Lepisosteus oculatus: one gene and its partner. The protein of the gene in region 1 purifies or fractionates together with the protein of each later gene. This does not show direct contact. Links are inferred from orthologs where the notes say so. Each region holds a gene or a part of one and is shown on either strand. Other genes may lie near its edges. The genes, in order: akap11 and prkar1ab.

Region 1 (7,368 bases):
GTATGGAAGTCACTGAGATGTGTATTTTTGTATTCTGCTGAAATCAGTGGTTCAATTTTGTTGTACATTTTGAAATGCCTTAAAGTAAAGGCTACCAGTTAAGATCTTCCTACCTAAATAAAACTGAATGCATTCATGATGTGTTGTATTTACTCTCTTCAAATGTCAAAACACCCCAGGCCATGTTCATAAAGCCTTTGCAGCTGTTTTAAATGGACACCTGCTTTTTCTTGAAAGAAAACCACAAAAATTAGGGGAGTGAGATAAATCTTTGTGTACACGTTTTAGAGTTTCTGAAAGACATTTGTTTTAATTTATATTACAGGTGGTAAAAATAACATTAAATTCCACCTACTGTCTGAACATTTGGTCTTAATTTAATTAAAATAAAAGGATATTAGAGCCAGAGGCTATAATAATGAAATATATAAATTCCCCAAAAGTGATTTATGCAAATTTATATAATACTTAAGTATTAATGTAATTTCAATCTTATTTTTCAGCTAGTTCCATCCTTCTATAGGAAACATTAAGTATTTTTAAAACACATAATTTCAATTAATCCCAGTGCCTTTTCCCAAACAGAAATTGAGCTTGGTTTAAAATCAGTATATGGACACATGTGTATAGAAAGGAAGATATAATAGTAAGATTGTAAAATCCTATCGTAAAAATAGTAAAATCCTCGAAATTTGGAATTGTAAGCATTATAAGGCTGCAGAAAAACAGAAGAGTATTTCTTATTTAGTACAGTTATACACTGACAATGTGAGCTGTAAACCCATCATAGCAAATTAATGTGCCTTAATATATTGCAGTATTAAAAAGGGCAATAAAATATTTCAAAAGAAGGGATCAGGTGGTTATGAGAGTAAAACACTCAGTGTTTTTGAATAGTTACTATAGGCTCCTGCAGAATGTTTATGAGCTGAAGAAAGCAGATCACAAGATCGAGTTGTGTAATCTGTAAGAATATCCCTCATAAGAGGCTTGAGAACCTATCCACTGATTGCAAGGTATGAATAAATGTGAGCATCATGAACTTAGAAATATATGCTATTTTGACAGATATCCCATTTCATAATCATAATAATAATTCCTTCCACTTCTGTAACACTCTTCTGGACACACCACTAAAAGCGCTTTACAGGTAATGGGGACTCCCCTCCACCACCACCAGTGTGCAGCCCCACCTGGATGATGCGATGGCAGGCAGTGCACCAGTACGCTCCCCACACACCAGCTATCAGTGGGGAGAAACCGGAGAAAACCCATGCAAACTCCATACAGATAACATCCCGCATCCAGAACTGAACCAAGGGGCCCTGCGCAGCAAGGCATCAATGTTAACCACAGCACCATCGTGTCGTCCAACATACAACTAAAATAATAACAAATTATTGGCAGAGAGCAGAAACTTTGTTCACCCTGAAACTTCTTATCTCATGCTTTTGGATTTGTACAGTAAATAAAATATGCTGACTGAATCATTTTCCAAAAGATATGTACTGTAATGAAGACGGAAATATTCACCAAAATACAGTACATTAAACTACACTGAAAATTGAATGCACAATATCCTGTAGTTCAAAGTCACAGTGTTATACAAAAGGGAAAGCAACATATTACAATATAACACAGCAATCGCCTTCAAGGTGTGGTATTTACAACAACTGTGTCATCCATTTCCCAGTGTGCCCAGTGAACCCATGTGATGAAAATCTCAGGCAGCCAGGAAGGGTTGCAGGTTGCGTGTTAGGACTGTTCTTCTCAGCTGTAGTCTGTGCTCGTGCAGTTTTTCATCTCACAAAGGGAGGCTCCAATACGTGTGATCTCCCCTCTCGTGTTCCCGCTGGGGCAAAAGGCTATGGGTTCAAGTCGCCAATTCATACATCACTGCGGTGTCCCTCACAGAGACATTTACTCGGATTACTCTATAGTCACGCCAAGTGAGAGCAAATACTGCACATGGGTTAACAATGAAACAAGTTGTGTTCATTGTGTTACGATTTCTCATTCCAGCTCCTCTTACCACAAAACTAAATGAAAAATCTTACTACAGTCCCGTCTCCTGTAGCACTGCTGATTCAACGAAGACCAAATTCAACGAAGACCAAATGAATATTCATACACAATTCTTATCTATCTCTTAGGCCGTGCAAGATGTTGGAGCAAAATTTGACAGCCTTAAGAGTTTCAGGGGTATACCAGTTATACCCATAATTCACTGTGGCTTTTAACGCCCACACTAACCTCTGCTGGTGTCCCAATCTAGAGAGATAGGGTAGGTTAAGCCACATTGTATATACAGTATAAATGATTGATAGAGAAAGGTAGTTCTATGTCATATTGAAGGCTTAAATGATTAAAAAATAATTTCAGACAAAGGCCTTCTGCAGCTGGTTAAACAGCAGCGAAAGGACTTTTGTCAGACACCAATGTTTCCTTAATCATTCCAACCTTGTGTAGATCGGAAGAACTTTCTTTTCTTTATCAGCCTCTGATAATATACAGTCCCATAAAGAAAATTTAACGTTGAGCTAGAAGTTTACAACACATGTAATTCAGCCAAGCTTTTATGCGTGACTTAGTGCCTTTGTTCTCTCTCATTACCCCTCAGCAGGACTGGAATTATAGACTGCACTTTCAAAGGACCACTTTATTAATCCATTATCCTCTGAGACTACTGGACTGACAGCACAGCCATTCAGTCTGGAGCGAAACACTGCTGTGACATAGTTGTAAATTTAATATAAATCCTATGTTGTAACTGTCTGTCAGGATGGCACAGAGGAATTTAATATGACAGATTGGTGGCTTCTGCTGATACCCAAATTCATAGCTAGGCCGTTTTCAAAGTGTTTTGCTCTAGAGCTAAACTTATCCTCCATATTCTAAAACTAATCTTAAAGATATCTGAGGTGCAAATTTGATTATTTAGATGTTCAAAAAAATATCTATATAATAAGTGAAATATGCACTTGTTTTACATCAACACATTTATTTCAATTATTATTGTCTCCTTGTGCGTGCGATGAACAGGATGTAGTCCCGCCTTGTACCTCTTCTGCTACCAGGGTAGACTCCACATTGCCACAACTTAAGAGAACGCCAGGAAGGGTCTTTCCAATATTGGCTTGATGCAGGTAAGAACATACAGTCAGAAAAATTACAAATGAGAGGAAGGCATTTGGCCTTTAGTACTTATAGGATCCCATTATATCATCCAGGTGTGTCTTGAAGGAAGCTATGGTATCAGTTTCAACAACATGACTTGTTCCACACTCCCACAATCCTTTGTGTACAGAAGCACCTCTTCTTTACCTTCTGTGTCCCCACAGAACACATCCTCTGCTTGCATCCAACGTCCAGTGGGAATCCAGAAGCTTTGTATCGGGTGCCATCATACAGTAGTCTTCTCTGTTCAAGACTACACATACTAATTTCTAGTCTCGCCATTCCAGACTGTAATCAAATTATTTGCATATGAATTAATGATATATTATATACTGAGGCATAAAAATGCATATAATTCTTATTGAAACTTAGAAATTCCAGAATTTTAATGACTCTCATGGTATGTAGTTATTTGTTACACTTATGCTTTTGATATATTCAGTATTCTTTGATGTGATACAGTAAATTCCGTAACATTTAAAAAAACATAATTTACACCTGCATTTCCTTTATTAAACTTTTAGTTACAGTTTATCCTGATATGAATACATTTTAATGCTACTGTGCATCAATCACTTCACATGGTGGTCACCAAAAATGTTATTTTTTTAATGCTATAGTAACATTCAGAAATATTTATTAATATATAACAACAGAGGTTGTGTTAGGGTTAGAGTAATGATGAATAGTTAATATGCATTTGAAAAATGACCATTAAATTATTATGAATGTTAATAAGTCGCATGTAGCCTTAGGGATATTTTATTCCTATAAAATCTTACCTTTTTTTTACTTTAAAGGGATCAAACTACCACCTTTGAAATGCAATTCAAATTAAATGTACATTTGAAGTAATCATTAAAAGTAGTAAAACATTTACACGAAGTAATCATTTTCATAAAAATCTTTGGGGTACGTCATCGGTTTGACAACAGCTACCTTGTCCGGCACAAAACTTAAACAGACTCTACGTCCGTATCCAGGCTCACAGAAGCTACAATATACTGTACGTATACACTATGTTAACAACGCAATAATTTATTTTTTCCATGTGGTTGTAATTTGAACATCAACCAAACGTCTGCTTTAGCTTTTTAAAATCTTAAAATTGTGCCCGGCAAATTGTAAAAAATAAGCCGGAATGTTGTAGTTCCGAGGTGTTAATTTTACACTGGTGGAAAATTATATAAATTTGCAACCTTTTCGCATTCCCATCATCGTTTCGGTGTTCCTTAGTAACCCTGGCAGCTTTCTCCCACGAATATATCATCATTCGGACTGGATTGCTTCGGCCTGGTTTCTCTTGTTTTTGTGAAATGAACTGACAGCAGCCGCGGGTCCGACGGCGAAACGGTGAGAATCATTTTTGAGATGAAAGTGATTACACATGACACACCTTTTCTTGACAGGATCGCACATCTGTTGTGGTAAACGAACATGTGTTCTGGTCATGCATGGGTAAATGACGGATGATACAAACGGGTCTGGTTAATGTTGTTTTTTTTCAGGCCGCGGCCCTGAAAACAATTCTTGGAAAATAAAAGCTTTAATGGCAGTCTTTCCGTTCCCCTGCGCGGGGTTGGAAGGGAAAGGGGGTAGTGGGTTTGTATTGAGTCGCTATTCTGTGTCTGGACGCTGATGGTTAAAAACTCGACATGTTGCATTCGCTATAGTGTCCTCAAAGACTGGAAATCCAAATAGCATCGATACAGTACAGCAGCAGGGAAGATGCGACACTAATTCATCCACAGTAGGAATGCGAGTGGGTTGATCGCTTTTCCCAGGGAGTGTAAACCATCTTCCCCCCAGACTGGAACTTTTGCCATAATTAGGGAGCACCAGTACCCTATGTGCCTGGTTTGTTTTTAGATTGCGTTTATGCCGTCGCTAGTATGTTATCGGGTGTTTCGGCAGTTTTCCGTCTTCGGTTTGTGACGCCCAGCGGTTTTACAGCATGCCGAAGTGCGGCATTAGCGCTGGCTGCTCAGATTAATTCCCCTTCACAAAGCGTTTCCCCTGCAACGGTCAATACACTATTCACATGAGGTGAAGGTGATAAGAAATCTACTTTTTTTGTGCTGTGTAATTAAGTGTAGTTATTAGGCTCCATACATTTTTTTTTATTTTCATATAAACTGTGAGCACTGGGATATTAGAATTCATGCTGTAAATAGGATGTGCATTCGAAAAGGTGTCATTAATCAAGGAGTGTGGAGGGTCTTGTGCTATAGAGTAGCGTGGAGCATCGACCCAAGTGTCTCTTTTGAGTGTTAAAAGTCAAATACATCTCCTCAAATGACACCATTTTCATTGCTTATTCTGATTGGACTGTGACTGGATGTCCGAGGTTGTTTGAATTGGCATACAGTACGAAACTTAGTGCGATTAGGAAATACAACCCGAGGACTGTTGTCTGTCCTCTTTCACATATTACTTTCTAAGTCAGATGGACACTTCCAGCCTGATCATGTCCAGTTGCTGCTGTGCAGAAAGATGTGCATGTCTCATGTTGTTGGAGAGTTTACTGTTATTGCCGTTTCTAAAGTTGCAGTATGTTTGCTACAAATTCTAAATCCTAAGTACAGTATTTCTTAGTACAGATCCTGGTTTCCGTTCAGTATCCACCCCCGTACTCGCGCCCACACTGACATAAAAACTGTACACGCACGCTTGAAAGCCTGACCTATATTAGTGTTCCTATGTTTGTAAATGTTTGCTCATACAGATGGTTGAACAGACATTCTCTTGAGCTTTTTGAAATAGACACATGTGAGCTCTACCATGCAATGTTAGTCTCACGCATACAGTTAGTGACCCCTGTTCTCTGCTTTCGGAGAGAACTTTGCTACTCGCAAACACACATACACAAACTAACAGGGTTAACAGAACATAGGAACGGCCATCTTATACAGTTTTTTGTCTCATCAAAACTTAATTAAAGCCTAAATAACTGTCGGCTTAGAAGAATACATTTGCGTAGTATTTTAAGCGCCAGTGAGGGTCACAGAGGTGTTGGCTACTTTCTTCATTTCCAGGAGCGGCTGGCTAAGGTTTCAGCTGATTTAGGCCAATTCTCATAAATACAGGGCATCAAATAAACAGTCGCTTACTTCTGTTGACTCATCGTTTGAAAGAGAATCGTTTTGGTTACGTGCCATGGCTTTGGAAGAGATGCGCACGAAGCTTTCTGGCGGGGGTTTTTTTCTCACATCTGCAGCTTCCTTTGTTTGCAATGGGAAAGAATTCCAGGCAGCGCTGTGGTGCTGGTTGGATGTCTACTGTGTCACAGGACGGTTTCTTCACTCTGGGAATGACGTCCAATCTGTTTGAGGCTGCACATTTTTCCTTGCGCGCTCACGGGCGATGGATGTGAACGCTGACCAAAGATAGATTCAGCGACTGGACTATTCACACAATGATTAATAGCACCTAGTTTTACAATGGGACAGTTCTGGTGTGTTGTTTAAATCAGTTCTCTTGCTAACCACTATGAAAAGGTGAATCATGCTAAGCATTGCCATACAAAGCATTCAGTACGTCATTCAGTGTGCTGTTACTCTTTTGCTGTCATTCGTAATCAAAAACAGGGAAAATACTGGGGTAGGTCCTTTCTGTATTGGGAACCAAAAACCACTGTTTGGTAAGGTTTGCTTTTTTACTCAAAGACTGCTGGCTGGGGTTTGTTCCTGGAAAAAGATTTGGCTCATCTCTCCTACTGTAGAATCGTAGACACAAAAAGATTTAACTCTTTGATTGTAATGTCCCCTCACAGTACTCAGTATTGTCTGGGAAGCTATTATTATTATGAATGTTTTGTCATTTAAATTCATGTCACTAACAAAACATATGGCATCCTGGTGGGTCTGGCTGATACTGTTTTTCATTTAAAATCTTCTAATGGCAGTTTTCCTTTATATAATGTTTCTGAAATTTGTAATACTCCTACTGTATGTGCTGCACATGTGTCTAAATGCATGCTCTGTTTGTTGCCACATTTCCTCCAGTCATTTTTAGGTACTGTACGTACAGCCCAGCAGGGTCCTCACCTGAGATGTTGATAAAGGAGTCTGTTCCTCTGCTACTGCACCGGGCACAGTTTGCCTCTTGACCTAGGACGTAGTTGCTGTAGGCAGGATCACTGCTGTTAACAACATTCATTTCAACAATATTTACGATAGTGAAATTCTTTTA
Region 2 (8,171 bases), on another chromosome or scaffold:
GGGGCTCGGAGACCCTGACCTGCAGTGAAAGTCTGCAGAGCCAGCAGCCAGGAGGAAATTATTGGGGTGCCAGTCAAGACTCAGAATGGTGGAGCAGATAGGTTTCTTGATGTGCTTGCTCAGCCACCTGGAAATCAAATGAAGACATTATCTGTGAATATCAAGAGCCACAGATGGCTAGAATTTACAACAGCAAAAAAGAAAGACTGAAATCACAGCTAGAGGTTTCTGGTTGGAAACAGAATGCGAGTTCTTCTTTGTGTGGCAGTACAGTATGTCAGAACACAGTAGCAGAGTCTGCATTTCTGCCAGCTTAAAAACAGGTGACAAAAAACAGAGGCGAAGAAAATCACACACCCTCTTCATCGCACTCACCAGTTGTTCCCCTTATCAAAGTAACAAACGGAGATGATTCTCGCCCCACTGCCCAAAGCAAATTTGTTCCCTAGTGGAGACCACTTGACACAGGTGGCGGCCCTATTGATCCGAACCAGCACCAGGGTGGGCTTCCATACCATACCCTCCTCTTTCAGGGTCCACACATAGGCATTTCTGTCAGAGGCACAGGTCACAATGAGGTTGGACTGGGGAGCCCAGTCTATACCTGAAAGCACACACACAGGCTAAACCTATAACATTGCCCCAGTACTATGATCATAGCTGATCATGAGTTGTTCCCAAAAACTAAAGCATTCAGATAATGAAATGTTACATACAATCATGATACCAAAAGAAAGCTTTTTGACGTTAACATGGCAATGATGTTAAATTATGTAATGTATTTGAAAGACCTCATTTAGAATACTGTACACAGGGTTAGTCATTACATTTCAAAAAGGACATATCTACACTGGAGTCAGTCCGAAGAGGTTAGAGAAACTGAATTTCTTCAGTCTCGAATGAATTCAAGTGTGAGGGTTCTTGATTTAAGTATTCCAAATTCTCTAAGGTAATGACGAAGTCAAATCAATGGACGTCTTCACAGACAACTGTGAAATGTGACCCAGAAGACATCAGTGAATACCACCAAGGGGAAGTTAATGTAAGAAAGAAAAGCACTTGGCTGTACACAAAGCGTTGTGGGGAACTGGAACAAGCCATCCAACCACAAAACTTTTATTTCATTTCAAAACATAATACACTCAGCAATATTTATGTTAATTCCCTGATTTCCGTCTAGAAATGCGTGGATAGGGTCCTCTGATCTATCACCTGCTAGCAACCAAGAAGTTACTTGGGCCAAACAGACAGCCTGTTCTGAAAGTCTTATGTTCTTGAAAGAGTCTGTTTCTACCTCTTGATCATTAACATTTTCTATATTATCCCATGTTTACAATAAAGTGCAGTGAAGACTTGAAATGTAAAAACACATGCTGTATGTACAGTATGTGTGAACTGATTGAATAGAAGTCAAAACAAAGTGCTGAAGAATGTACTCTGTGCAAGAGAGAATGCTGTGTCCAAAACTGACAGAAAAGGAATTTATGTTTTAAAAGATAGCAAGGTTATACATAATGAGAAACATTACAGTCCTGACTTCCATGACTATTTTTAAATTTTGTTTCTTTATTTAAAACTTGAGACTTTAATCACAATTGCATATGTACTGTATATACAGTATAAAAGTGTTTCAGTTACCTTAATACAAGGATGCAACAGCTGCATGTTTTGATTTTCTATGTATTTGGTTGCTGCTCTGTGATGCACAGAGGCCACACTGCTTCAAACAATTAACTATTTTAAAGGTTATGTCGATTCAGTCATAGATTCTTCTCCAAAGTTGCACTACCTGTGATGCGACCACTGTGCTCTTTCAGCTCATGGATCTTATTCCATTCTTTCCCCTTTTTCTGGTAAATGTGGACCTCATTATTGTTGGGACTGATGGCGATTTCTGCAAGGGGAAAAAATATTAAACATATTGCATTGCTTACATACAGTATAGTATTTACTGAACTAACGATTCTGGCTCTCACGTCGTGGCATTTTAGCCCATTAAAAGTGTGATATCAAGTTCACTAATCACCGCCCCACAAAAGAAAGATGAGACTTTTAAACACTTTTCCTCACCAACAGAAAAAAATCTATTCAGTTTCAGGCTATTTTTCCCTTATAAGTAAACCATCTAAACTTTTTCATGAGAAAACATACTCAAAGACCTCCTGAATGTCTGTTAAGGCAGAAAGACATAGGCATGTAACAGAAACTATTTATGGCCCAAATAGAAAGATACAGACAAAAGTGTTGAGCAAAGACCTAAAATGGTGGTGCTGGATATTACGTGGAATAGGCTCAGGTTCCCTTGCGACTCTGTATTGGATACAGCAGTTAGAAAATAGATCGGTAGATAGATATTACACAGGCTTGACAAAATCATTGTACAATGCATAGAGGATGGACCCCTAAGACTGGAGTAGGATGAAGCTGCTCGACCAGTTTTTTTTTACTTACGAGTTCGGTCTTTATTCCAGGCATGACATGACAACGGATCAAGTCCGAAGCTGTACAGAGACATGTTTCAACAAGGGAGGCTCTTGGAATGTGTTGTCCAGGATTTTGAGCACCCTGCAGCAAGAGCACAGAGAAGCACATCAATAAAGCAAGAAACCCTGCCTACTTTTGACAGCACCCTGCATAGCCTTAGAACTTCATGAGCATATTTTTGTATTCACTGAGTCTTTCACATCAGCATGGAAAATATAACTGTTTAAGACTATTGTGTGTAAAGTTAAGCTCCTTTTGAGGGAAATTAAAAGTTTAAGAAATATAAAAAGACCTTTATAGTGGTCTATTTATAAATAACCTGAATAATAAGCTTGTATTCCATTCCATGCAAGTGTAATCTGCAGTATTCTTGGCTCTAGTGACAGTGGTATAGCTGTTTTTACACAGTTCTTACTTTTCATGACAAAGCAAAAAAAGTTGGGTCAATTGGGTTATAAATCTTTACTTGAATATCATACATTGGGTCTTCATTCCAAATTTACATTCAACAGATCTTTAGTGCAAAGCTGGGAGATTGTGAGGCACTGAGATCGAGTTGCCTTTAAGACAGAACGACACACCTGTTTTTTTTCCCTGTGTTTTTCCAATGATAAGATTGTGCCAGTTCTTCTCAAACTTTGCTTTTTCTTGCACCCTGTTAAAAAGCAGGCTAACCACCATTTCGTAACTGTGAATTTAGATTTCAGAGCATTGAATGATATATCTATATATTTTTAAATTAGTCAAAGCTGTGTAGCTTAAATCTTCATGGTGCTTTCTTATCTCACTATTCTCAGATGTTTCTTTTATATTGATCCTTACTTCTTTAGAACTAAGACCCTAATGTATTGTGTGATAAGATCATTTAATTGACACAAGATCCACAGAAAACACTTAATTGGTCATATAACATTTCCTGTATTAGGAATTTGTCATTTTGCATACCCCAACTTGCTCTGCATGAGACACACAGACAAGGAGAGAAGCTTGGGGTCAGAGCACAGGGTCAGCCACTTACACAGTGCCCCTGGAGCAGTTATGGTTAAGGGCCTTGCTCAGGGGCCCAACGGAATAGGATTCCCCTGCCAGCCGCGGGATACGAACCAGCAACCTTCCAGCCACAGGCACAAATCCTTAGCTACAGAGCCACTGCACCAAACTGGGTATTAATATAAATACAGTACACTGTGCTGCCTTATTAGCCTGACAGTCCCATAAAGATGTCCACTGTTGGACCTGGTAGTTCGACACAGTCACACTTCACTAAGGGAACACAGTACACTGTAAGTAGGTGTTTTACATGCACCTAAGATAAAAAAGAGTATTGTTCGTGTGGATTTAAAAAAAATGCGTACCTCCCCAGAAGCAGACACAATTTACAAAAGAACATGAAATGGTAGTGGCACTCACCCTGCAGGGACGGCGGCTGTATGGCAGTGGAGTGACTGAGTCAGTAATGCTGAGGACACTGGTTTGCCTAATTTCCCCACACCTGAGAAATTCTGTGGTTGGGCTGTATTTCTGGACTCCAGACAGTCAATAGGAATGGAGGTGTGTTCAGGGACGGGCCAGCACAGGCAGCCGTGAGGGAGGAGAGAGATGGGAAGAGAAGGAGGGGGTTGTGTTTTCAGCCCTCGGCAAACTCCTGGAATTTGCCAAGAGGAGGAGTGGTGTGTTTAAGTACAAGTAAAAGAGTATAATTCTGACAGGAATGCCAGTAGCAACATGGTAAACGCTGAAGACTAAATCAACTCTCTGTTTATGAACTTCCTCAAAGTGTCTATTTATAGTCTCTGGTATGTGTTTCTGTGTTGCTCTGTAGTCCATTGGGATGACTTTAAAAGCATGTGAATATTTCAGCCTGGTCTCTTTGTAGTTTTCTCTGTTCAAAACTAAAAACAAAATTGTTTAAATAATTTATTTTTGCATTTTAGAGAAGAACACTCAGAACATTTTGGCCTGGGAACATGAATCACCCCCAAGGAAGGATTTTCAAATCTGTTTAAGAAAAATTGCTTCTTCCGAGTAGATTGAAATAGATTCCTCAGATGTAATTTAATAATTTGACACACAAATGTGGCTTGAAATGTTGTAAACATGCATTAAAACATTTTTAAAGAATAGGTATATATTTCATAATGCTGTTATCCAATGGTTTTGTCAGTAAGTAAAGGTGATATCTAAATTTCAACACTACCTCAGTTAACCTTGATCTGTTATTATGGGATTGGGTAAATGGTTAAAAGAGTCTTCTTTAGAGTTGAATCACAGCATATGTATTTTAAATAAAATGAGAGAGATTAAAAATACATATTTCCAACGGAGAACCACGTTTTTCGTCTCCACAAGAAGGACAATAATAATATACATTAACCATTGCTGTGTTTTACCACTTCCGGTACAAATCCTGACGCCAGATTCTTGTTCTGACGTCATGAATTCGTTCAAACTTGCCCTTTAAGGTTGCTAAGGGTTACAGCTATCGTGTCAGAACGAGGCCAATTGACGTCAATGGTCGCTTGTGATTGGTCCTGCCACGTTTCCGGTGGGGCAGCCATCCAAGGACTGGGGAAAAGCGAAGCGAGGAGTTTTTTTCAGTGTCAGTGAGAAAATATAGGCCAACGAACGGAAACGTAAATTCTAACGGCTTGGGTAAGTCGTTGGCCGTCTGTTTTGTAAGGCTTCTTTGTCAGATACTGGAGTTATGTACGAGAGCGAATTGCGAGAAACCGCTAGTCGTGTCGTCTGCGCCTCCCGTTTGTTATGATAGCTTTTCAAGATGGCGTCACTAGGAAGAGGGCTCTGCGGCCCCAAAATATGTTTACGCGACTCTCAAAGTTCTCTTTACCCTCGCGAGCCTTCGCGTAAGAAACTTCTAAAAGGATTTGTATATTTATTGGATAGTTACGTGTCCTATTGAAGATGGCGTTTCTTCCGTTAATTTGATACCCCCTCGTTTGATGGCGAGAGCCTGCTGTCAGATGCTGTTTACAGACGCTCACCGCTATGTTGTCAGTTCGGTCAAAGACTCTCGACTGTGCCCCATTTTATTTCGGAAATCGCGACAAATTCGGAAGGCAAAAGACCGTTGAAATTACCTAACGTTTATACTGCCTTGGAGACCCTAATGTCTCCTGTTTTATATTTGATGTGGAGTGATCTCGATGTTGATGATTATCTTACATGCACAGAGCAGTGTGTCGGTTAACTTTTTCCTCGTTTGCTGTATAGATTTTTATAATGGCATCAGTACCCATTGAAATGTAGGAGTGTGTTTTTTCCACTCATAACCAAAAAAAAATAAAACAAGTACTTGACAAGTCGTTGATGTTTTAGCTTATCATGGGTTTACATTTTATGCTAATTATTGAAGTTTATAATCACTTTAAATGTTTTGTGACAGTCACATAAACGCTTACAGCTGACACCGGTTTTGTTGAAATTATAAGATAGAACCCAGTTTAATATGCAAAGTCGAGTTATACAAACATGCAAGCGACGTATAACTTTTGATATTCTGCATGTTGTGTGTTTCAGTTTTGTTGTATGGTGTTGAGATCATTTTGTCAAGCTTTGATATACAGTGCAGTGCTGAGACAGTGGCCTGTCTGATAGATCATTAAATTCTTTATTCGTTTGGAAAAGTTATATCGTGCAATTTAGTGAAATATTTTGTTTTTAAACAGATCCTGATTTGCAGCTAGAGGTCTGGCGGCCAGGTCCTGTGATATCGTGGTATAACACAGATCGGAGTTTTATTCAGTAGCAAGTCGGTGAGATAAGAAAACAAAATTGGAATATTTAAAACAACACAGCCCCCTTTACTAATAAGATGGAGCATGAGGTGCAGTTAGACAGTTCAAACTGTAATGACCTTTACTTGTTTAATAAAAATTGTTTCTAAATATAACGGAGAGAGGGCAGAGTATCTGTATTTAAATGGATTTTCAACAAGTTTTAATCTATTTTCAAGATTTCCATATTTTTTTCCTGTATTTGTCGGGTGTTTTAGCATTCCGGCTATTTTAGTTCTTTGTTTTTTTGTGCAGGAAAACTAAAATTGATTTTAAACTGTTTAATGAAATTAGCAGAAAGTTGTTTTAAAAATTAACTTTTTGATATTTAGTAAATCAATAGGGTTTGTTAATATTTCTGCAATGAAGGAATCCTCTATAGTTTCCTAATTTACTACTGACTTATGTGGCTTCCATTTTTATCCAAAGCAATTTATGTTTGCACCTGTTTATACAGCTGGGTATTTTGCTGGAACAGTATATATGAAATACCTTGCACAAAGGTACAACAGCGGTGTCTCACCTGTGTTGAAGTGTACATAATGATCTGGAACAAAATTATTTTTTTCTTTACAAAAATAAACAGCAGCAAATGGCAAGATTGTGAATATTTGAAAATAGAAAATATTTAAAATTTAAGTGTCATTTTTTGTCTAGATACATCTGTGAATATGATCAACTACCACAAAGGCTTATGAGTAATTTATGTATACATAAATTGAATTCTACTTTTGATGGGAGTTTTCTGCCAAGTTTTACCCACTCTAAGCAAGAAACACAAGTTCAGAGGAAGCAGACCTTAGATTTACATGTGCTTACTATGTTGTATTTGAACATGTGACATTATATACACATGTATATATATTTATTCACTTGCATATATCGTTACTGATTGGCATGGATAATTATTTTGTGTAAGGCAGGAAACTGAGCAAAGATTTAACATTTTTGCAGCCCTGCTTCAACATTTTTCTATACTCATTTCATCCTCTCTGTAGTGCTTTTAATCTTTTGTAACTTTTTAAGTTTCTTATATTTGATTTAAGAAAATTGGTTTAAGAACTTTTAATACATTATCTTAATTTTATTTTTGACTATGTACATAAATAGGCAAATCTTAAAGAGATTCGTATTGACCTGAATCCAAGCAGCAGTGCACTGTTAAGCAAGGTGGTGCTCTAATAATGATCTGTTGAGGAACAGAATGAATTAGTACACTCGCTTTATCTGTTTTGTTTTAGTAGCATGTTCAAATAAGTAATTTCTTAATATCTGCTTAATGATTTAAAGTTATGGAATTATTTTCATTGGTTTTAAGAAAGTTGCTTTTGGGTTTAAGTATTAAGTATATTAAGACAAGCCAATAAAGACAGGCAGGTCTTCAACATTTCTAATGACATTTCAGCACAGTTCACTTTGTTGCAAACAAAGCTAAAATGTGAAAAAGAGGCCTTCTCTGGCATATGTTCAATAGCTTACAGAGATCATGGGTCAATAGTTGAGGCCACCATTAAATCTATCCTGGTATGGAGCAGTTAAAAAAGAGCTGTTTCCTTTTTTGGTTGATAGTAGCTCCGGATGTACTGCACGTTCATGCTGTTGGTTGACTTCTGTGGTTAATAGATAGAAGAGAGATGTTCAATGGAAAGAAACTTTGCATTTATTAACATGCTGATCTGAAAGCCACATTTTTGATAGTATTTTGTGTTTAGGTTCTCACCAAAGATCTTGCAGTCTAAACAACAGGAGTATGTTTCAAACCTGAGCAAACTTTTACACTTCATATGTAAGGCTACATGAACAGTTTTGTCTTAAACACTTTCACTCTTTGTATGAAGGATTTAAGTGTCTTCACTTACATGTTTTGTGCGTTATCTTTGAATTTAAGTAAAG

What was found.
Region 2: the proteins of akap11 (region 1) and prkar1ab purify together in Homo sapiens (affinity purification with mass spectrometry; 3 studies listed by BioGRID and IntAct, counting the BioPlex papers as one, with this or other methods). This does not show direct contact. The link is inferred for Lepisosteus oculatus from reciprocal best matches to the Homo sapiens genes AKAP11 and PRKAR1A.

What each region holds. Positions count from the first base shown.
Region 1 is NC_090710.1:16,668,315-16,675,682, reverse strand, and holds the start of akap11 (A-kinase anchor protein 11), read left to right. Parts: upstream 1-4,118; 5' UTR 4,119-4,183; intron 4,184-4,452; exon of another isoform or gene 4,453-4,530; intron 4,531-7,368. UniProt on the Homo sapiens protein: Binds to type II regulatory subunits of protein kinase A and anchors/targets them.
Region 2 is NC_090704.1:39,814,867-39,823,037, reverse strand, and holds the start of prkar1ab (protein kinase, cAMP-dependent, regulatory, type I, alpha (tissue specific extinguisher 1) b), read left to right. Parts: upstream 1-5,005; 5' UTR 5,006-5,136; intron 5,137-6,170; 5' UTR 6,171-6,219; exon of another isoform or gene 6,220-6,257; intron 6,258-8,171. Other genes in the region: actin-related protein 2/3 complex subunit 1A-A, read right to left, coding at 20-127, 376-604, 1,790-1,894, 2,452-2,515. UniProt on the Homo sapiens protein: Regulatory subunit of the cAMP-dependent protein kinases involved in cAMP signaling in cells.